3 linked regions of the Arabidopsis thaliana genome follow. The protein of the gene in region 1 interacts with the protein of each later gene in a pairwise test. Each region holds a gene or a part of one and is shown on either strand. Other genes may lie near its edges.

Region 1 (7,946 bases):
TCTAGTTTACCTTGATCTAATTCTAAGGTCTTAGCTATGTCCTTTTTAGCTTGATTCTATTTTTCCGAAGTTTTATGACAATTATGAGCTAATTCAGCGGAACTACAATTTTTCACAAACAGACGCTCATTTTATGAATGTGGTTAGAAAAGAATACTACTAGTATAGTAAGTTTTAGTCAATGAAAAAGTATAATTTCTCAAGAATAGTACTTTAGGGAGAGAGTAAGAGAGAGGAGTTGAAGAAAGTAGAAGAAGAATTGTGATTGGGAAACTGTGCGTGCGTCTTTGAAAAAGTGAATGGAAACATATATCATCATTCCTCTTTTCCTTACTTGTTTTTCCCAAATATTTTGCCTTATGCCCCTTTAATTTGTGTCCTCTTTTCCTCCTTGTCTTATTCCATTCCTTAAAAGAAAAATAATGTTTTCCTTCTACAACAAGTGGAAATCAATATTTAACATTTTGGTAATGTATTTAAACTATACGGTATAGTAATTGACATTGTTTGAAATAGAATTAGAAACATGAATGGATGGAACAACAAAACCTCTCAAGCGGAGTGGAGATTAAAATTTAAATATATAATCAAGCATCTAATTGTTTTTCATATTTATAGAGAATGATTAATATTCATTGAAAGGCCAAATTTGAAGAATTGAGATCCCTTTTTTAATTATCTACAACTTCGATTATGTTAAATGGTTACAAAGTGCATGAAGCCATGTAAGCCCACGAAATAGGCTGGGAGAGAGAAAGAGAGAGAGAGAGTACGTTCCAAGACAAAATGATTAAAAGGTCTTTGAGAAGTCATAAAGGATTAGCGTGGGAAATGAAGCTCAAGAGATTGAGCACTGGTTTTTTTTCATGAACAAAATTGGCTCCCTACTTTCTTTCTTTTACTATGCTCAATTATTCTGTTCTTTTCAGACTTTTAATTGACAATTTTTTTCTTAGAATACTCCTTACAATTAATACCAAGGTCGGTCAAACTTTAAACCCTATAATCTACTCAAAAACTATAAACATTATAATTAAAATTATTTGACAAGCTTTTCTCTACACATCTTCTTTTGTATTGTCAAGGAATTCGTACGTTACAATATAAAAATCGCAGCTTCTTTCTTACAAAAGAGTTCAAATTATATCTGAAATTATTGTGAACCGTGTTTTTGCCATTGCTGGTTTTGGTCATGACATTCTAATAGAGTCAGATAGAGAAAGTAGCATCCATCAAAATTTTCAAATACAGTATATATATATATATATACACACACATTTTTCTCATAAATAAAAACCTAAAAATATACACATAAATACGCACACGTGCATGTATATTTGAGTGTATACATGTCAATTTCCAATGTCGTATATTAGACTTCCATCTAAATAAACTACTAATAAAAATTTGGTAAAGAGGAATATTTAAGGTAAAAACAAGAATTATTAAAAACACAAAATTAACTTAGAGCTTTTATAATGAAATGAAAGTGCTAGGAAAGCAAAAGGGCTTTTTGATTGCAAGCTTGAGACTAAGGTCATGATGATACGGCCAGCCTTTCTTGAGTCTTTGGTCGGTCCGACAATCTGTGTGTTTTGTGTTCACTCTCTGTTTTTCTTTCATTTTTTTCTTATAGTTTATTTACTTATATTTCGGTTATAGTGTTTCTCAAGCTCTAGCTCATATATCCTATAACTATAAGGGGATGTGATTTAAAGCAAATTTTGGACCAATCACTATGAAATAAAATATTACTAATTTTGATATTTTATTTCCCTGATAGCTACACTCCTTAGTTGAGCTTTCCGTAAGTTGAAAGCAAAGACGACTTGCAGAGCAACTTTCCAAGTTGCAAACCACACATCCATCTATAGAGACATATCATATAAACAAATTTATTTAGGAAAAATCCTAGAAATTGTCAAGGTTTACTCATTAGATGATACTCTAAATTACACCCATAATATATTGGCTTGCTAAGTTGCAAACTATCCATACATTTATCCATATACATCGTAAGAATAATTTATATAGGAAGACCTAGAAGTTGTAAAATGTGTATGAATAAATTCCAAATGAAGACCTAGAGCTTGTAAAATATAAATTTTAAATCTAGATATATATATATATATAAAATCCATAATATAAACCTTTTGTAAATTATGTTATAAGTTATAACAATTGTAACTTTAAGACGAGTTTACTATTAGCACTTGACACTAGTATTTTGCAAGCATTTAATTTTATGTTAAATTTTGTTTATTTATAGGTGACAATATGGGTAATCCAGTCCAATTTGATCCATAATGTTTATGGGGTGAATGTTAACTAGGTGAACGAAGAACGTAAGCCATTTAGTAAATAGGTTGACCATATAAAATGTTCTAGTTTCTGGTATGAGGGGAGGTAAATGCCTATTAATCTATCTAATTTGATGGGTCGAAAATCAAAATGATAAAATAGTTCTACCCATAAAATATTTTTGTAATAATTTATCACATATTTTCATAATTAATAGTTATTACAATCGGTATCATATGTGATACGTTCATTGTCTTCACATCATCATCGCATTATCATTTTTATCATCATCATAACATAACGATCATCATTTCATACCATCTCCATTATCATCATAATTTTGAAATCACCTTTATGGCACAAAATTTTGGAATCGTGCTTTTGCAAAACAAAACAAAAATATAGTTTTCTCTGCAAAAATCATGTTTTTACGAAACATTGAATATAGCGGAAAATTGTGGATTTGTGTTTTTAGCAATAATTATTATGAAATACTTTTAGCTGGAAGTTGCGAAATTACATAATTCACGATTCATTGAAATTCAGTTTTTGACCAAAAAAAACAAATTGTGAAATTATATGATCATGATGATGATAATGGGGTATGATGGTGATGATATGATAATATTATGATATCATGAATATAATAAGAAACGAATATCATTTACTTTTTTTTTTAGTTTTTAACAAAATGTGGGTAAATATTGGTGAATCATAAATCTTTTACAATCTAACTCATTTAGCCCATTAATTCCTTATGGTCAGAACTCATTTGCCTTATCAATATAATAGGGTCATAATATTTAGTTATGAGGATTTGAATTCGGATGATGACATAAGGAAACATTAGTATCAATTATTAGATTACATGAATTTGGTTAATATTTGTTAATTAGTATCATGGTTTTATATCAACGAGAAAACAATTGACCAAAAAAAAAAGATAACCAAATCACTATCCTACACAATGTTATGTGCTCTCCCATAACTAGTTAGTGGTCTAATAGAAGACAAATAATCAATTTTTTGTTGATACCTACAAATTTGTAACGTATATTATGTGGTCTCTAATACCTAGTTTAGTGCTATAGCGTAGATTTTATTTATATAAATCAATTAAATCTGTATAGTGCCGACTCATATATTTTCGATGCTCTGAAACAAATTTAAAAGATATGTATTATGTGTCATTTTGTATATATAAATTCTTTTTGTGTCTTTTTATATATACAAATTATTTTTCTGTGTATGGATATTTGGCGATCGCATTGCTTGTCCATATACTTATTAGAAATAGAAATAGAAATAGACCGTGAAGTACTAAATGCGTAAATTAAAAGATAGATAATCTAAAGAATCTTAAACCCATTACCTTTTTTTTTTTACCTTTTTAATAATTCCACCACAACACAAAACACAAGTTGCAAACTCCACATATCCTGCAAACCATTGGTAACAAACAAACGCATGAGTTTCCTATATATGTCTGCGTCTACAACATTTGAAAGCAAACTTTTGTCTCTTTTTAACTCTCTTAACTTTCGTTTCTTCTCCTACCTTCTTTTACCAACCTTTCCTTTCTCTTACACACATATATATATACATATATAGAGAGAGAGAAGAGGACAAAGAGTTGAAAGATGAAGACTCTCATGTCTTCATAGAAACAAGTGATATGTGCGCTAAGAAAGAAGAAGAAGAAGAAGAAGAAGAAGACAGTTCTGAAGCCATGAACAACATACAAAATTACCAAAATGACCTCTTCTTTCACCAACTCATCTCTCATCATCACCATCATCATCATGATCCTTCTCAATCTGAAACTTTGGGAGCATCCGGTAACGTTGGATCTGGTTTCACTATCTTCTCTCAAGATTCCGTCTCTCCAATATGGTCTCTACCTCCACCTACCTCGATCCAACCACCATTTGATCAGTTTCCTCCTCCTTCTTCTTCTCCAGCATCTTTCTACGGAAGTTTCTTCAACAGAAGTCGAGCTCATCATCAGGGATTACAGTTTGGGTACGAGGGTTTTGGTGGAGCCACGTCAGCAGCACATCATCATCATGAACAACTTCGGATCTTGTCGGAAGCTTTAGGTCCGGTAGTACAAGCCGGGTCCGGTCCTTTTGGGTTACAAGCTGAGTTAGGGAAGATGACAGCACAAGAGATCATGGACGCTAAAGCTTTGGCTGCTTCAAAGAGTCATAGTGAAGCTGAGAGAAGAAGAAGAGAGAGAATCAATAATCATCTCGCTAAGCTCCGTAGCATATTACCCAACACCACCAAAGTAAGTCCAAAATTTTTATAACATAAATTTTCATACATAAGTAAAAACATTCATCAATCACACACCGTTTAAGTTTTTTGTAAATAAAAAATAATACTAAAACAATGTAGAGTTTAAGTGGAAAAACATAGTAGCTGCGACATGAAAGTTTATGTCACATTTTGTCTCTTTTTATTTTTTTACATTTAGGTTTTATAAAAGGAGAAGTAAGTTATTCAAAGGTTTTCTGTTTTGATCAATGATCTTGTGGGTATTTGTTAAAGTCCCGAGAGAGAATCAGTCAGAGACTGTAGTATAAATAAAAAAGCAAGGAATATGGAACGTCTATGTCGTCGTTTGGTTAATTGATGTAATAAAGAGAAACAACCGGCGCTGCTTAAAAAGCATAAAAAGTCTTATTGCCGGACCAAATCATAACTTCTACGACCACATAATTTTCTCCTCGAAACTATACAAATATGTTTTTTCTTCGTTTTTTTTAATGCAGACGGATAAAGCGTCGTTACTAGCTGAAGTGATCCAACATGTGAAAGAGTTGAAGAGAGAGACTTCAGTGATCTCAGAGACAAATCTTGTCCCAACGGAAAGCGATGAGTTAACGGTAGCTTTCACGGAGGAGGAAGAAACCGGAGATGGCAGATTTGTAATTAAAGCGTCGCTTTGCTGTGAAGACAGGTCGGATCTCTTGCCTGACATGATTAAAACATTGAAAGCTATGCGTCTCAAAACGCTCAAGGCGGAGATAACCACCGTTGGGGGACGAGTCAAGAACGTTTTGTTTGTTACCGGAGAAGAGAGCTCCGGTGAGGAAGTGGAGGAAGAGTACTGTATAGGGACGATTGAGGAAGCTTTGAAAGCGGTGATGGAGAAGAGCAATGTAGAGGAATCATCTTCTTCTGGAAATGCTAAGAGACAGAGAATGAGTAGTCACAACACTATCACTATCGTCGAACAACAACAACAATATAATCAGAGGTAATCAATTTTTTACTTAAATCGCTTTTTTTTTCTTACTTTCGGTGTATCTACTACGTGTGTTGTTTGCTGGTTATGGAAATGAATGTTGTACGTCACGTTATACTATAGATATATGTGTGTTTGTGTGTATGTATAACGGAAGTATTTGTATCCGTTGTGGTCTTGGACTTTTGGTTTGGTTCTAAGATACTTATTTTTAAAAACTTGTATCGTTGAGTTGGTTTTCTAGATATGCTTAATGGGAGTATGTGACGAAAAAAAAGTATGATTTCTGTAAGGCAATGCATGGGTTTGGAAAATTCGTTTTCTCTTGTCATGTGGGAGGATTTGAATTTAATTTTGGCTTATTTTTGCAATTGTGTGAATGAGACCAAAAAGAGACAATGAAGAAGAACAGGAAACGTACCAAAGATGATGTGTATCATTAATTGATTTAGTCGGGTTCTGTCCGGGGGAAAAACAAAAAGAGACAAATTTGGGATTCTGAGCTTCGTACGTTGATGCTTCTCTGACTCTTTTGCCTTGTGTATTTATGTGTTCTGTAGAATCTTTTTCGTGTAACGATTTACATATATTCAAATATTTTGCTTTATATAAATTTGCATCATGGACTGGTATGAGGTAAACATCGGGACCAAGACTAAGATATAAAGGACGTAGCCAATTAGTTTTTTAGGTTGGTCCATGAAATTTAACATGGTATTCTAACCAGAGTTTTATTTTGTAAGTGTGTTATGTTTTATGTGTTGCACATGAGCACGTCCTTGATCGAAGTATTTAAAATTTGTTATTAAAGAAATGTGTAAATTTATAGGGATGATAAGTGATTGTGATTGAGATTGGTCATGACGAGGAACATACGTAATTGACGTCGTATTTGTGTTAAGCTTGCATCATGAAGTGAAGTACGTCGACGTTATTAATAATTATGATCATTTAGTACTACTTACGTACTATTGTACCCTAACTGCCATTTCATTTGTCTTTTAACATTTTTACCTAAGTGACGGTCATGTGAATTGTCTAGTAGACTAGTACTGACTCCTCTTTTGGCTTTCTCTATAGACAACCTTGAATTTAATTTTAATTTATGTTAATTACGTCTTCATTATCAAACCAAAAACTTAGAAGATTTCTAAGTTTTGTGGAGACTTGCAATTAGGGCTCAGCTGGTCATGTTGTTAGAGCGACATAAAATGAGATGAATTTTATTAGTTTGTTGGATTCTACAAAGATATTGGACTACCTACCATTTGCATTGAAAAGAATATCCCAAAAGAGACTTTTGGTTTTACTTTAGGGATCTCTTTTTATTTTATTTTATTTTTTTATAAAGAAGAGAGTATTGGGAAATCTTTAAAGGCCCAAACCAAAGCTCAGCCATATTTCTACAGTTAAGCCCAGCCATTTTTTTACCAAAGAATGCTAATATCATTTTTCAGCAAGATTTTATTGAATCATTCAACTCTCTAATTATTGATTAGTCGCGGTATTAAAATTGTGCTTCCCCTTTTGGAAAAAAATAGAGTAACTGTTCAAATCCTTATCATCCTGATTCAGGATATTAAACCTTAAATATTGTTTGTCAAACTCAACTTCTATCAATCATTTTTTATATTGTTTTAATGTTAAACAACTGTCCATCTATCTTATCAACAAGAAGAAGAATTTCTAGCCAGACTTATAAACTTGCACGACAAGACATTCATCCTTTTTTAATTAATGAACAAGAGTAACGACTTTTACACTTCTCTTGTCACAAAATTATTGAACAGTATTTACAAGTATTTTATAAAAATTGCTATTGGTTGATATTTTTATTGGTGCATGTCAAGATATTTCTGGCAACAATCATTAGAACGCGACCATAACATGTGCTGCAATTTGACAATTCTTTATATCTAAAAAATGACAATTTGACCTCGTTGGAATCTTGGATTTGTTTCTCCCAAGCACAATATGTTCGAGCTATCGTACCATTTCTGAAAGTGTAATTATAAAGACTGCAATCATATATGGGCTCGTGGAGCTAAATCATGGCCTAAAGTTTTTTTTTAATCAAATGGATTTTGAACTTGTGGTAAAGTTTTCGGATCTACGAAAAATTATGCATTCTTAATCAAACCTCTAATTCGATAAGACAATTGTTTTCCAACAAAGAATGTGTCAAAACTCAAAAACTCTTAACAATTGTTTTGAATGTTTTCCAATAATACCACATCGGTTTATGTATCAATTAATATTCCAAAAGTTGATACTCCCAACGATATTCCTATGACCTAGAATTTGATCCATATCTCAAAATTTTACGACCGACAAATATATTAATGTTCTTTTATTTTATTTTATATAGATTAATGGTTTAGTCATCTACATG
Region 2 (9,507 bases), on another chromosome or scaffold:
ATATATACATATATATTGTCCTCTCTGTGTGTATAAAACATGTGTATATATATATATATATATATATTAATTATAGCTTGTGATATATACCTAGCTTAAATCAAAGCCAGGATTTGATAGTATAGACCTAAAAAATGTTGTTTACTGATCACTAATCCTCGATATGTAAAATAGTAAATTCAAGAATCAAGAATATCGAACACATGACCTAACAAACTAAAGCAAATTTAAGATGAAAGTTTTTTTCTGAACATATCATATTTTTTTTTTTTAAATGAACATATTCATTGCTTCTAGATTTTTGCTGTCAAATATGAGTAACTTTCTGTGACGTATGTTTTTATACAGAGGTGAAAACAGGGAATACGCCATCAAGAAGCAGGGAATCAGTAACCTACTATTTTAATAGAAGATTCATTACCTTGTTAATCACGAAATTACCTTCTTGCTCATGAATCACCAAGTCAATGTCAATGTTTTTAGAGAAAAAAACACACATACATAATCATCAAGTCAATGTTCTTGCAATAGTTATACCTTTAGTTTCCCCCAAAAAAATATTAGCCAATTAAATCAAACAAGAAAGAAGATATTACTTAAAAATCTCTACAAAACACATGACTACATGAGCGAGTGAATTCGATAAGGGCTTGAAGAAGTGGTATGCCGATTGACTATTGGGTTAAAAATAGATGAACAATTGAGATTCTTAGAATTAGTACCACTAAATTGACTAAAAATCAGTAAATGATTGAACTCATTTGAGACCAAACATGTGGGAGATATATATGGGAATGAATGCTTTCTAAGTGGACACGAAAATTCTATATTACAGTTGAGATTCGTTTGAACAAGCTCTGGGGAATATACGGGGGACAAGATACCAATTTATTACTAAAATAAATACGATTAAAATAGTCTAAATTGAGAAAGAGAAGATCCGGAGATGGTGGTGGTGGGTTTTAAGGCATCTTGCTTATTTATATCCTTAAAGGGAACAGAAATTGTCAAAAATACGTCATACGTGACGTTTTCTGTCATAATTAGTAATATACTAAACATAATTAATTAGAACTAAACGATAAAGTAATTAGTTAATTGGTATATAAATATATGGACTATGGAGTATAGGCTTTTTCATCTTTATATTTTGCTTATTATTTATTAAAAAGTTTGGCATTATTCATTGCCAAATGACTACAGCAAATATACGATTTTGATGCAGAAATTTAAATTTATTGATCATCTAAAGATCGCACTTAGTTTACTATACGAAAATCCATGCACTACACTACTAGTGATGGTACAAATGTTTAGGAAATAAAATTATTATGTTAAATTTTGTATTGAAATAAATATTTGGGAGTTATAATCTTATCATATAAAAAAACTAAAATAAATAACTAACCCAACATATATGTATATCTACATTATAAGGATTTGAATTTATATGGTAAACATAACTATACTAACAAAAATTATTATATTACATATCTTGGTTAAATTAGTAAAATAGATTTATTTAGTGTTTTTCGTTTGTCGCTTGTCATACTTTTTGAGTTCCTTCAATTTGAGTATCATAAGATTTTTAGGAAACTTAATCTTGATGTTATAAGTGATATTAATCGCTTATTTATAACATCTACTTATTTATCCATCATCGATCATTTTTTAACGGTTCAAAAGATTTCACGTATATTAATGTTCAAAATTCTAAAAAAAAAACATTTAATCAAAACATTTTTTTCTAAGTATTTAAGTAATTTTTCCGGATAATATTTGTTTGGCAACGATCAACATATATCATGACTCAAATAAATTTTGATGTTTCTAATTAGTAAAATGTGGAGTTGGAAAAAAGTTCTTGCAAAAGGTGAAAAGAACAAAAATCAGAGATGGAAACACTTCCCACATGCTTATGTTAGTCCCACCATTTAGTGGTAGAAATGTAATTTATCCAAAGAAGGAGGTCAAAGCTGCTTCGTCTCTAATCCAAGTCTAGCCAGTATTGTTGCCTGCATAAGAGCAAACGGTAAAAGTGACGGACTCTTAACGATGACGGGTGTTACTGTTTAATGTCTCTTGATCGACTTTTGTTACCGTAACGACAACGGCACGCGCCCTCACGCTCCGTACCAGCCTTAAAAGCCAACACATTTATGATTTATCCAGTAACTAATACTAATTCCTTCATCCACTAACGCAATTGCATTTAATTGTTTAGTACGTATAGAAAAAAAGTAAAAAGCTATTTATAATTATAACTTACAAAGTCTCTTTCAATTAGTACAGTGTAAAACAACCAATTATTTTCTATATTATACAGTATAAAGGTGTTTATCATAGACCCATTATTTATTTGTTTTTGACTAAAATATCAAAGTGTATTAAAACATAAACCAAATAAATTTGAAATTAAAGTTTTTTTTTTTTTTGTAAAATTAAAACTGATTTTTGGTTTAAATAGAGAAGCAAAGCTACGCTTTTTTTTTTGCTAGCTCTTTTTTTATTTAATCAAACAAAAATTGAGGAAAACAATTATTGTTGTGCTAAGCATTTCTATCATATATTTTTTTATAAACAATACATTTAATTTCAAAATAACTTTCTACTTTCTTCAAATCAAGCTATTTCCTAGAAATTTGGTACTGTCTGGATAACAACATGTCTTAGAAAGTATAGTAAGGAATTTACAATTGGTTATACAATTAATGTATAGCGTATTATTATATACGAAAAGGTGTCCAATTTTAGACATACATATAAAATCAATTTATTAAAAATAAAAGTATTGAAAAAAGAGAGAGTGAAACGGAGATAAAAGCAAACGGAGGTGTTAACTTAAAGACGGGAGAGAAGCGAGTGAGAGATTCTTTCTTGTAACGGCGTTGTTTGACGATTATAGTGACGAAGAGAGACAAAAAAAAAGAGTTTAGTCTTCTTTGTTTGGGAGACGAAGACGATAGAAGCTGGTTTTACGGGAGAGAAATTAGAGAGGTTACAGTTACAGAGCAGGAAGGATTGCGTTGCGTTACGATTCAGATCTCTCTCGATCGTTACTTACATGCATTAGAGAACAAGAAAACGTGGAGACGGAATCCAAGGGACCTTCTTCTTCAATTTAATTCCTCACTTTATTACGCACCCTTCTTTTATTTTCGACTGTTTCAGCTTCCGGTTCTTCATCGGAGAGAGATAGAGAGACTGTGTGTTTTGGTGTGACTGATAGAAGATTTAATCAGCTGATGGCAAATCGCGGAGGTGAGAAATTGACCGGAGTTTTGTTTTTTTCTTCAATTTTCCGGCGACATTACCGGCGAAATTAACCGGTGTACATTGTGTGGTGAAACAGGTGAATATCTGTACGATGAGTTATGGAAATTATGCGCGGGACCTCTTGTTGATGTTCCTCAAGCTCAAGAAAGAGTTTATTATTTTCCTCAAGGTCACATGGAACAAGTAAGCAGCTTCTCTTTTAGATCGGTGAAATTTTGAGAAAGATTTTTTTTAATGAAACATTTCTATTTTTGGTGGTTCAGCTCGAAGCGTCAACGCAACAAGTCGACTTAAATACGATGAAGCCTCTTTTTGTTCTTCCTCCTAAGATTCTCTGCAATGTTATGAACGTTAGTCTTCAGGTATACTTTCCACATTTAGCAAAACCGAATTTATCTGATGATGTGTCGTCCATTAGTTAAAGCAATATATATAGATGGATATTGTAGAAAATCTATGAAGAAGCTGGAAATGATTAGACTAAATATGAGTGGAAGTTCTGGATCTTGTTTGATTTCTTCATTTCTGTTCTTGTCAGGCGGAGAAAGATACGGATGAGGTCTATGCTCAGATTACTTTGATCCCTGTTGGAACTGTGAGTGACACAATTAGATCACTTGATTGTTTTTGTTGTTGCAACTTCCTTAAATTCAATGTTTAGTGGATCTCTAAATGTAAACTGTAGGAAGTTGATGAACCTATGAGTCCTGATCCCTCTCCTCCTGAGTTGCAAAGGCCGAAAGTTCACTCTTTCAGCAAGGTTTTGACAGCGTCTGATACAAGCACCCATGGTGGCTTTTCTGTTCTAAGGAAACATGCCACGGAATGTCTTCCTCCGCTGGTATTAGGACACGCTTACTATTTGTGCTTTGTTTCCCACCAAAATGGCCTTTGATATGAATTTCTTATGTTCTTATCCTTTAGGATATGACTCAGCAAACCCCGACCCAGGAGTTAGTAGCCGAAGATGTGCACGGTTATCAGTGGAAATTCAAGCATATTTTTAGAGGTGGTGAATCCATTTCTTGTTAACTCAGATCAAACTTTATGTATCCATGATAATTGTATAAAATGAATGATAATTCATTAAACAGGCCAACCACGGAGGCATCTATTGACGACAGGGTGGAGCACCTTTGTTACATCAAAGAGATTGGTTGCTGGGGACACCTTTGTATTCCTGAGGTATTATACTTCACGCTGCTACCTTGTTTTGTTTCTTTTGATGGTCCATTGGTAGATTTTGAACTTCCAAGCTATATTATATTTTCCAGAGGGGAGAACGGAGAGTTGCGAGTTGGAGTCAGACGTGCTAATCTTCAACAGAGCAGTATGCCTTCATCCGTTATATCAAGTCATAGTATGCATCTGGGAGTGCTTGCTACTGCACGCCATGCTACTCAAACGAAAACTATGTTCATTGTATACTATAAACCAAGGTAGACAGTTATTACTCTATGGGAATATCTGAGGTGAGTTTTTTCGACATTCTGCTTATCGAATTACTCTCGGTTTGAGCAGGACAAGCCAATTCATCATTAGCTTGAACAAATATCTAGAAGCCATGAGCAATAAGTTCTCTGTAGGGATGAGATTTAAGATGCGTTTTGAGGGAGAGGATTCCCCTGAAAGAAGGTAGTCTGAATTTTTTCTTTGTTATGTATCCTGCACTTTGTCCCCAAAGCTATTCTCACACATCTATTTCTTTACAAAGATATTCTGGCACGGTTATTGGTGTGAAAGACTGCTCCCCTCACTGGAAAGACTCAAAATGGCGATGCTTAGAAGTAAAATTCCTTCCACTTTTACATGTTTTTTAAAGTGTTTATTAAGTGTGAAAACTCAATCAGTTTGCTACATGTTTGTGTAGGTTCATTGGGATGAGCCTGCATCGATTTCAAGACCCAATAAGGTTTCACCATGGGAAATTGAACCGTTTGTAAATTCAGAAAACGTTCCCAAATCAGTTATGCTGAAGAACAAAAGGCCCCGTCAAGTTAGTGAAGTATCTGCACTTGGTGAGGCACAATCTAACCGCCACTGATTTGCTAGTACATAGCTTAAGTTTCCTTGCTAAATCTCACATGCTGTGTTTAGATGTAGGCATAACAGCTTCAAACCTTTGGAGCTCTGTTTTGACGCAACCCCATGAGTTTGCACAATCGTGCATCACCTCACAGTGGAGTTCTCCTCAGCAATGTCATCGTGATGCAAATGAGGATGCTAAGAAATCTGACTGGCTAAATAACTCTTACTCTGTGTCAAATGTAGCAAAAGACTCAACACTGAACGACCAAATGGTTTCCCCAGTCGAGCAGAAGAAGCCTGAGACAACCGCTAATTATAGATTATTTGGAATTGATCTGATGAGTTCCTCCCTAGCGGTTCCTGAGGAGAAAACTGCACCCATGCGACCAATCAACATATCCAAACCGACTATGGACAGCCACTCAGACCCAAAATCAGAGATTTCAAAAGTATCAGAAGAGAAAAAGCAGGAACCTGCGGAGGGATCACCAAAAGAGGTCCAAAGCAAGCAAAGCAGTTCTACAAGAAGCCGTACCAAGGTATATATATGCCTACATGGCTACCGTGAAGTGTATATACATTGTGTAATCTGTGAGTTGCAAAACAGATACACATTATGTATAATGTTTGCGGGACTGAACAGGATCCTGAATTCTTTATCGCTGAACAGGTGCAGATGCAAGGCGTACCTGTGGGCAGGGCTGTGGATTTAAATGCGCTAAAGGGGTACAACGAGCTCATAGATGACATTGAGAAGCTGTTTGACATAAAAGGGGAACTGCGGAGTCGCAATCAATGGGAAATAGTGTTCACAGACGATGAGGGAGATATGATGCTTGTCGGTGATGACCCATGGCCGTAAGTAACTTACTCTTTATCTCTTAGTCAATAGAATCACTACACAAAACTCATATCTGTTGACTTAATTTGGTGGTGCAGTGAGTTCTGCAACATGGTGAAGAGAATATTCATATGGTCGAAAGAGGAAGTGAAGAAAATGACGCCTGGGAACCAACTCCGGATGCTGTTAAGGGAAGTTGAAACAACACTAACAACAACTTCCAAAACAGATAATCATTCCAACTAATTTTTATTCTATTCTCTATCAGTCTTCGTCTCCTTCTTATTTGCTTTGTCTTTCGGAATTATCTTGTTTGTGTCTGTGTTTTGTTGCGCATGGCTTAAACAAGAAACTACATCCCCTGAGGCAAAAAAAATGGCTCGTTTTTTTGGAGCCTCTTATGGAGAAAGGGGGTTTATGGGGAGAGGGTTTTCTACTTTTAAAATAGGCTTTTGGAAGTTTCTTTTTCTTCTAGGAACTTGTGTGTAAGAGAAACAAATATGTAACGAACAGAAAGAAAAAAAAAAAAAAAAAAAAAAAAAGAGAATGAGATTTGTGAATAACTTGATGAAGGACTTTTGGGACTCTGGGATTATAAGAGATTAAAGAGGGATTATACCTCATGGCTCTCGTGTTTTCTGATTCTTTTTCGTAGTTGTGTTTTCTTTGATTTTGTTTTTCATCTAAGTTTTAATGTATATATAAAATTTCAAACATGGCTTTCTTGTATTTGTCAAATCCCCAAAGGTACATATATTATCAATATTTAAAATGTTAAATAAACAAAACTCTAGACCTAAAACTATTTCAGGTTTTCCCACTAACCTTAACAATGATTCAAGATTATTGATGTTTTGTCTGTGAGGACATGTATGTGGCCGCTCTTGCCACCATATTCACAAACGTAATTGTATGAAGTATGGACCACCTTTTCGCTACTACTTCTGGATCCCCTTATGTTTGTAAAGTGTATCATTCCCTTATATCACTATTCACTCACATGCATTAAAATATCGAATGCTGCAAAGGAAAAAAGAGTTATTTTTCTCTTTAGATATCATTTGGGTTATGCATATTACTTGGATTAGTCCAATATGTCGTGTACAACCATTCTCGCTGCAAAACAACTACAATATGTCAACATAGTATAACACATGCTGATCTGGTGAGATTATAAATTGTGAAGTTTGTCTTTATAATATGTACATATAGTATTTCTTTGATTATGACAAGTGTGTAGAAAATGTTAGGATATTATTCTAAATCCCACATACGAAAGATTAGATAATGATTATCCAACATATAAGTTCAATCTAATTTTAATTAGTGTATCATTTGGGGAAAAAAAATCGTGCATATCTGGTTGCTTGGTCCAAATATCTATATTTTCTGACGGTCCAATATTTATATACGTACCACATAAATACACCTATACGAATCTCTTTACTAATACGTCGATACCGTTCATAGTTAATGACGTTATTTACTGCCGAGATAATGAAGTGATGATGTAGGTTATTTATTGCCGAGATTTGTGAAGGCAGTGGATCTCACAATCCCTATCTTTTCCTCTTCTTTTTTTTCTTTTTTTCTTTCCATATATAGAGAAGTTTAAATTTAATTGTACCATTAAAAGCTCACCAAATACCAACTTATACATACAGTCAGTATCTATATCAGGAATTTATATGTATGTGTGTATACCGAATAATAGTAAACTCATTTTACTAATAAATAACTTTGTTTTATTATATATTTGATAAACAACTTGTTATAAATTATTTTAATATGTTAAATTTGAACTTATTAAATTTTAAGTAATATTCTAGTGACGGAAGTATACATTGTATTTAAATTGCATAGATGTAATTACTTATTTTAAAAACTTATAGCACTATTCAGTGATTTACTTTTCCAACCTAAAATCGAGGTGTAGAATGTCTACTCTGGAAAAAAAAATCGCCTATAAAATATCAATATCAATGGTGAGTTTTGTTCTATGTACCAAGTTTCTCTAAAACAATTTGTCTTTCTATTAAAAATAAAGAGTACCACGATGGAGCCTCACAGAAAACACTCGGTCGGCGACACAACCCTCCACACGTGTCATCCTTGCCGGCGCACCATTCCATATAGAATCTACGCCGTATTTCACACGTGTGGCATCATAGCCCTCATGTATCACCATGTACACTCACTTCTCACAGCAAACACAACTCTAATCACGTCTCTCCTTCTCCTCTCCGATATTGTTCTCGCCTTCATGTGGGCAACCACAACTTCCCTCCGGTATAAACCGGTTCGCCGGACCGAGTACCCTGAGAAATATGCAGCTGAACCGGAGGACTTCCCGAAACTGGACGTGTTTATATGCACGGCTGATCCGTACAAGGAGCCTCCGATGATGGTGGTCAACACTGCCTTATCGGTGATGGCTTACGAGTATCCGTCCGATAAGATCTCAGTCTACGTATCGGACGATGGAGGTTCGTCGTTGACTTTGTTTGCTCTTATGGAGGCAGCTAAGTTCTCTAAGCATTGGTTGCCTTTTTGCAAGAAGAATAATGTTCAAGATCGGTCTCCTGAAGTTTATTTCTCATCAAAGTTACGTTCTCGGAGTGATGAAGCTGAAAATATCAAGGTGCGTATTATTCTACTAATCACTTATAATTAGGAATGTTTTTTTTTTTATCGAATGTTAAAATTGTCATTCATTTTGGTTACGTTGAATAGTGGGGAATAACATGTTTAATAAAAAAATTTGGACAAAAAAACATTTATATTTTTCGTGGAAGGAGTAATTAATAATGACAAATAAAAAATAAAATGAGTACAAAACTACAAACAGAAAAAATAATTATTTGCTAAATCAATGGGGAGCGATTGTTGTGTTGAAGAAGTCACTTCAGAACCTTATCGTATCTCTTTTCGACGATAGTGGCAATCTTGTTCTTTTATGACCTAATACTTTGGAAGACTGTGACTCGTCGTAGTGACCTACAACAATTTCTCCCAAAAATATATACGACTATAGGAGTATTAGTAATCTAAATGATAGAAGTTTTTCTTTGTTTGAATTTTCAGTTATCCATGATTGCGCATAAGTAAAGTAAACTTGAATTGGATATTTCCTGCCCACCATTACTGTAAGCATTTCCTTGATATATCATCAATTATGAATTAAATATTAAACAGTAATTTTAAAGTTGAACCTCTAAAACAAAATGGAAAGACTTGTTCAGAAAAAAAAAAGATATTTTATGGCAAAACTGGTTGACATATCCATAGAAAATGGAGAGACTGACCAAATATTGTCAATTTCAATAAAATATCTCTATGATAAAAAGGACAAATTGGTCGTC
Region 3 (6,472 bases), on another chromosome or scaffold:
TCAAAATCTAGACTCTTTTTTCTCATCTTTCATATTTATTATCTTTATTATTTATTACTGGCCCAAACATTTCATCATATTTCTTTTCAGAAAAATAAACAAGGAGGGAATTTGCATACATATGTGTATATAAGAGTGGAGGAGTTGAATCCAAGAAATGGATGTGAGGGCAAGAAAGTGAGAGATATGGTCCCCTCAACAAAAGCCATTAAATCTCTGAGCATATGACTGTGACTTTAATGGCAAAGCAAAGAGGTTTGCAATTGCATGATTCAATGAAGAGTTGCTGTTAGGGTTTGGGAGATTTGTGGGCTTTTAAGTGCATGTTTTTTTGTGGGGTTCAAGTGCCATTCATGGGACCCAATTACATTTTTTTTAGATTTGTTTTACTTTTCTTTGTAACCATGTTTTTAGATATGCATTTACAATATGTTTTTTTTTTCTTCCCTTTTTTATGAGATTTAAAAGTATTATATTATGACACAAGTATGTTACACTGGTTAGGACTTAGCTTTAGACAAAAAAAAATCAGAGTCCGAGATTTTATATAGATTTCGTCTTTTTAATCAAAAAAGTTCTGATATATAACCTAAAAAGACTACGTAGTATGATCTAAGAGATTTGACAAAATTTGGTTGTAGAAAGTCCGATATTAAGCATTCTCATCAATTTCCCTTAAATATTTTTCTAAAATATTAGAGGAATACAAAAAAACATTCTCATTAACTATATAATTTTAATAACAGTTAAAACTTTCATATTTGCATGCCAAGGCTCTCTGATGAGTTTAAATGTTAAATCGCATGTGTAGGTTTAAACAGAGTTTATTGTTTGTGGAAAAATAAAAGAGACGTGGACTCGTCATGTGAAGTCCAAAATCTGCAAAATTATGTATGTAAATTAATGTACTTTGGGACCAGCATTCGTATGGACATTATTACCATAGTTGAATTTACTTCCCTTTCTTACAATAAGCTTTTGATTACTCATATATACCTCACACATGTTATGTGAATCGGTAAATTCATACTATATGTGAGGAAGTCACTTACAACAGTTGGATTTTAAAGGGAATCCGTCTGAAAAAAATTTGGAGAAAAAAAGAAATTGTTTTGCTTACATAATTTAATTTAAAAATTATAAATAACAATACTTTTATAAGAGAATAGTTTATCTGTTGACCAAAAAAAAAGGAATAGTTTATCTATCCACAAATGGATGATCCATATTGGAGTATATAGAACGATAAGAGATGATTCGATACGTACTAAATGAAAACTTTGAATACTGTGTATAGTAAGCAATCAGCATTAGTTTACAAGATCTTAGTTTTCGTAGGATTAGTTTAGACTGTTTAGTAATTTGATTCCAACCATTGTACAGGAGAAAATTTTTACCGCTCAAAACAACTAACTGAACGTCATACTTAATTGGGAATTTGGGAGTCGTCAAAGAAATGAAAAAGGTCAGATTAATTTATGGATTAATGAGTTTTATAGTCCTTATTCCAGCTTGACATTAGCAACATATACATTATTTGTGTGACATAATCAGGGAATATATATAATCAAAATTAATGGGATTTAAAATTTAATTATTCTTACAAAATATCAAAAAATTTAGTGTAGACGAACAAAAAGAGAATACATATATATATATAGTTCATTTGAAGAAGACGTGTATATGATCGATCCGAGTTGATAAGTATTAACAGATTACATACATATTGATAAGATGATGTGATCTCATCGATTAAGGTTCAATCTTTTAAATTGGTTAACTATCTGGTGATGACATGTCAACTAGTCGATTATGAGCATCATTAATGATCATGAACATGGACCACCTCTCTCTCTCTGTAAGATTATCTTTGCATCAAAGAGACAAAACATCCAAGAGACTAAAAGTATGGTCCTTGAGAGAGAAGAAGTCTCTTTAATTAGGTCTTTCTATTTCTCTCTCTCTCTATTAGTAGTAAAATCCATGTACTTATACGTAGACATAATAACCAAATAGGTCCGTGATGTTAAAGAGTACACACCTAACTTCACCTTGCTAATGATCTCTTACCTACAAACTCTCACTGTTTTTAGTTCATCTCATTACTCACTGTGACCCCATTTCATCTGCTTACGACCAATTTGGTAAGCTTTTTGTCTTAGTTTCAACATTTGCAGGAATCACTTTAAGAAACAACTAACTAAAAAGGAGATAACTTTGAAAAAGGAGGATTGATGGGTTTGTTTTTGATGAGATGGATATTTGTATATGTATGTCTAATGAGAGATATATTGCGTAGGGGAAGTGAATGTAGATTAGAGGTCTCCCTATATATTGATTGATTTTATCCGGCTATTTTTACCTACCGCGACACACGGTATAGATTCATAGTAAGCTACAATTTAAACACAAGATAAATCTGTAATCATATAGTATAGTACTATGCTTCCATATATACCCCATATTTACGTCTCCTATGCTTCCATACGCTAATTAGTTTTTTTTTTTTTCCAACCATAATTGCAGGTTTATATAAACATGAACTAACGAAAAAAATAAAATATAAACATGCACCATGGAGTCAATTTTAAAATTCTATGAGGTTTGATTTTCAAAAGGAAAAATCTAATATACTAATGAAAAAATTGAGATCATAAAAAAACTAATGAAGAAGTAGATTTATTTATTTTGAAAAATATGTACAAGTGAAATGTGGATCATTCTTTAGCTATATATATATAGGTGGATAAACGTAAAATCACGCACGCGGCCATGCTGCAGGGGTTAAATAGCAATTATGTATTTACCTTAAAAAGAATTTGGGAACCTCTCTTTAAATTAATGCAAAACCTCATCTCTTGTCTTTCTGTCTCTGAAACAGTCAACCTCATTCTTCTCAAACTCACTCTCCCTGATCTCTCTCTTCCATGGACGAAACCAACGGACGAAGAGAAACTCACGATTTCATGAACGTCAACGTTGAATCCTTCTCTCAGCTTCCTTTCATCCGCCGTACTCCTCCCAAAGAAAAAGCCGCCATTATTCGTCTCTTCGGCCAAGAGCTCGTCGGTGATAACTCCGACAACTTATCCGCAGAACCTTCTGATCATCAAACCACTACCAAGAACGATGAGAGCTCTGAGAATATCAAGGACAAAGACAAAGAAAAAGATAAGGACAAAGACAAAGATAACAACAACAACAGGAGATTCGAGTGTCACTACTGCTTCAGAAACTTCCCAACTTCTCAAGCCCTAGGTGGACATCAAAACGCTCACAAACGTGAACGTCAACACGCCAAACGCGGTTCCATGACATCATACCTTCATCATCATCAGCCTCATGACCCTCACCACATCTACGGCTTCCTCAACAACCACCACCACCGTCACTATCCGTCTTGGACGACGGAAGCTAGATCATACTACGGCGGAGGGGGACATCAAACGCCGTCGTACTACTCAAGGAATACTCTTGCTCCTCCTTCTTCTAACCCACCGACAATCAACGGAAGTCCTTTAGGTTTGTGGCGTGTACCGCCTTCCACGTCAACAAATACTATTCAAGGCGTTTACTCATCTTCACCAGCTTCAGCGTTTAGGTCGCATGAGCAAGAGACTAATAAGGAGCCTAATAACTGGCCGTACAGATTGATGAAACCCAATGTGCAAGATCATGTGAGTCTCGATCTTCATCTCTGACTTCTTTTATTTTATTTTTTTATCATCCATCATTGCTGTGATATATGAGACTCGCTGATCGGTGAAGCCAATTCTTTTGAGAGTGTTGGAGACTGAAAAAAAGAAAAAGAAAACGAGAACCGGTTTGGTGTGTAGATCATCTTGAACCTTTTTGAGGTTTTCACATTCTGAGTTTATATTAATAAAGGGAATAATATTTTGGTTAATTAGTAAAATTCGTTCATCCGTTTAATTTCCTCTCACGTGTGTGTGAATGTGAATGATATAATTATCGTTTTTTTTGTTTGATTTCATCTGTTCATTTGTGAGTTCTGTTATGGCTTCCTTCAAGACTCTCTATAACTTTCAGAGAAAGAGGAACATTAATTTAAGGGCCATGGAAGTCACACGTACTTTCTCTCTGTTGTTGCAGTCGAGATATTTAAAGTCTTAACCATTAAAAACCCCAGAAGACTCTTTAGATACAAAATGCTTAGGGTCTCTGTCTAATTAAAACGGTCTTTTACCGAATCAAGAGGCAACGAAGGATGGGTAAATGCAGATGTTGATGATGATTCGGTGACTGTGGGGATCACTGAAGACAATGGACAAGACAAAAGGGGAGAGAGAGAGAGAGAGTTGAGAAGTGAAAGTGGTCCATGATTACAAGTGTAGAGTTAGCCAAAGATAGAGCTTTCACATCTTTCTCAACACACAGAACCTAAAGCTAAAGCCTTTCCTCAAAAGCTTTCTTCTTTAGTTTCTTTTCTAACCTTTTTTTGGGCAGTTCAAAGAGAATCATCAACTACAAGCTGTCTACCATATTTCCTTGTTCATCTCTCTCTCTCTCTCCCCATATACCACAATGCTCAAAATATAATAAGAAAATAAAAATACTGGTTACAAGCCACGGCACATGACCATGTTTCTTCTTATTGCCTCCAGTGAACAGACTTTGAATGAAGTCCATATGCCCCAAGGCCTACAAGAATCACAATCGTATATCTCAGAAGAAGCAATGATATCAATCCTCGTACCTAACATATGACCTTCAATGTCTTAACACTAACCAAACATTAAAGACAACCATATTTATATAGCTACGACTTTCGGCATAGACCAAGATATTCAAATGCTTGACTTTTCCAGTTTTGGCAAGACTTCAATCACATATATATGTGGCATTGCCTCACACTACAAATATACTACAATAAGAACTCAAGATGGTTACAGATATATAAAGCCTATTTGCTTTAGAATTACCAGCTGTGATACTAACCAATATATAAAAGTTAAACGACAGCTAATCTTACTCTATCAAGTCTATAATTCCAAAAGAACAACTTTGGATACTCTTGAGGTAAAAGTATGCAGGTTATAAGTACTGAGATTGAACAGAAGGAATACTTTTCCTTCTCTAGTTATATATGTCGTGAAACGTTGTAGCATGATTGCTAATGTGTACCTAATCAACTAACATTATGCAAGGAGTACGTCTTAATATTATCCTAAAGCTTTCAAACAAATCTCAGCACATTATTGTGATAACAGGTTGCAGAAAGTGACATTGCAAAACTTCTGACCTTAAGTCTTTAGTCGCGGAACAGGACAGTCGCTGTCTATATTACGGGGAAGGACCAAACGGTGCAAACTCAGCCTGTCAATCAAAAGGATGAGAGATAAGGTTTTCTAGACAAGTCTTATGCAACAAACTATTGCAATAAGGATGCATATCAAAATCACATGGGAACAAAAAACCAAACGAAAAAGAAGAAGAAGACATATCTGCCCTCCTTGGAACAGTTATTTGGATACAAACTGCAGAGGTTAAACCAGAGAGCACAGTACCTTTGAGAATTACGTGATGGTTTTATCAAATTATGGAAAATTTAAGGATACTCAGTGAATGAATGCTGTCAAAGAGTTAACATCAAGAGCAGCTATAAAAGGACCCACTAGTTAATGCAATGGAGAAGGAAGCATGTGATGAACAACATGATAAAAGAAGCACATAATAAAGACGTGTGAAGAGCATACACATTATATAACCTTAGGACCACTTTCTCTGCTCTCTTGTTTTTTTTTAGATATGTAAAAGGGACTAGTGGAATTTAAGGAACATCGGCCCACAACCCTAGGAAAGTTGCAACTTGAGGATGATAGTTCGAACAGTACACATCTCAAACCCCTTAAGAAATAAAACTCACTCAATCTCATTTACACAACAGTGCAACCTGCCAAAACGGTCTCATTTTTGTGACCAAAGCTACATATATAAAGTTCCACCGACCCTATAGACCATGTGGTTCAATCCTTGGGAGTTGGGACTATGGCTTCTTACACAACTAATTTTCAACATCTACTTGCTTGCTACCATTGCTACCATCACTCAGAATCTCCGATCTTGTTGTCAGAATTCAAGACAAACATATCAAAAGTCATAGCAATGGATTCATATGAAAAGGTAGCCATTGAGAAGACATGGTTCATGTAGTTCCATGACTGCTTGTAAAATAGATCAGGAGGATATTGTGTAAGCAGTATAATATATTCAAGAATCAAATACCATGGCATTATCAGTAGAGAGGACCTAAAAGACATTATATTTGGTATAACTATGTTGAGAAATTAACATTATAGATGTGGTTCTCAAGAATGTGACTTGGAAAGGTAACCGAGAAAACAAAATAGAAGAAGAGATCGTGAAATAAGCTGGCTCAGCTAGAGGAGTGGAATAGATTCTCATTTATCTGTGCATGACTTCATTTTACCTCTTCTTTCTGAGTTCGAGA

What was found. Proteins that work in one complex are often made in the same cells at the same time.
Region 2: the proteins of AT1G68810 (region 1) and ARF9 interact in a two-hybrid assay, tested with the Arabidopsis thaliana proteins (one large-scale study listed by BioGRID).
Region 3: the proteins of AT1G68810 (region 1) and ZFP8 interact in a two-hybrid assay, tested with the Arabidopsis thaliana proteins (one large-scale study listed by BioGRID).

What each region holds. Positions count from the first base shown.
Region 1 is NC_003070.9:25,857,313-25,865,258, forward strand, and holds AT1G68810 (basic helix-loop-helix (bHLH) DNA-binding superfamily protein), read left to right. Parts: upstream 1-3,781; 5' UTR 3,782-3,976; coding exon 3,977-4,591; intron 4,592-5,078; coding exon 5,079-5,570; 3' UTR 5,571-6,222; downstream 6,223-7,946.
Region 2 is NC_003075.7:12,448,347-12,457,853, forward strand, and holds ARF9 (auxin response factor 9), read left to right. Parts: upstream 1-2,796; 5' UTR 2,797-3,245; coding exon 3,246-3,261; intron 3,262-3,352; coding exon 3,353-3,459; intron 3,460-3,539; coding exon 3,540-3,638; intron 3,639-3,814; coding exon 3,815-3,871; intron 3,872-3,961; coding exon 3,962-4,117; intron 4,118-4,200; coding exon 4,201-4,285; intron 4,286-4,370; coding exon 4,371-4,461; intron 4,462-4,550; coding exon 4,551-4,715; intron 4,716-4,797; coding exon 4,798-4,911; intron 4,912-4,990; coding exon 4,991-5,063; intron 5,064-5,146; coding exon 5,147-5,294; intron 5,295-5,373; coding exon 5,374-5,843; intron 5,844-5,974; coding exon 5,975-6,162; intron 6,163-6,243; coding exon 6,244-6,391; 3' UTR 6,392-7,023; downstream 7,024-9,507. Other genes in the region: CSLG3 (cellulose synthase like G3), read left to right, coding at 8,145-8,786.
Region 3 is NC_003071.7:17,504,629-17,511,100, forward strand, and holds ZFP8 (zinc finger protein 8), read left to right. Parts: upstream 1-2,714; 5' UTR 2,715-2,927; coding exon 2,928-3,701; 3' UTR 3,702-3,988; downstream 3,989-6,472. Other genes in the region: AT2G41945 (uncharacterized protein), read right to left, coding at 5,305-5,337, 6,452-6,472. UniProt on the Arabidopsis thaliana protein: Probable transcription factor required for the initiation of inflorescence trichomes in response to gibberellin and cytokinin. Is not involved in the regulation of trichome branching. Is functionally equivalent to GIS2.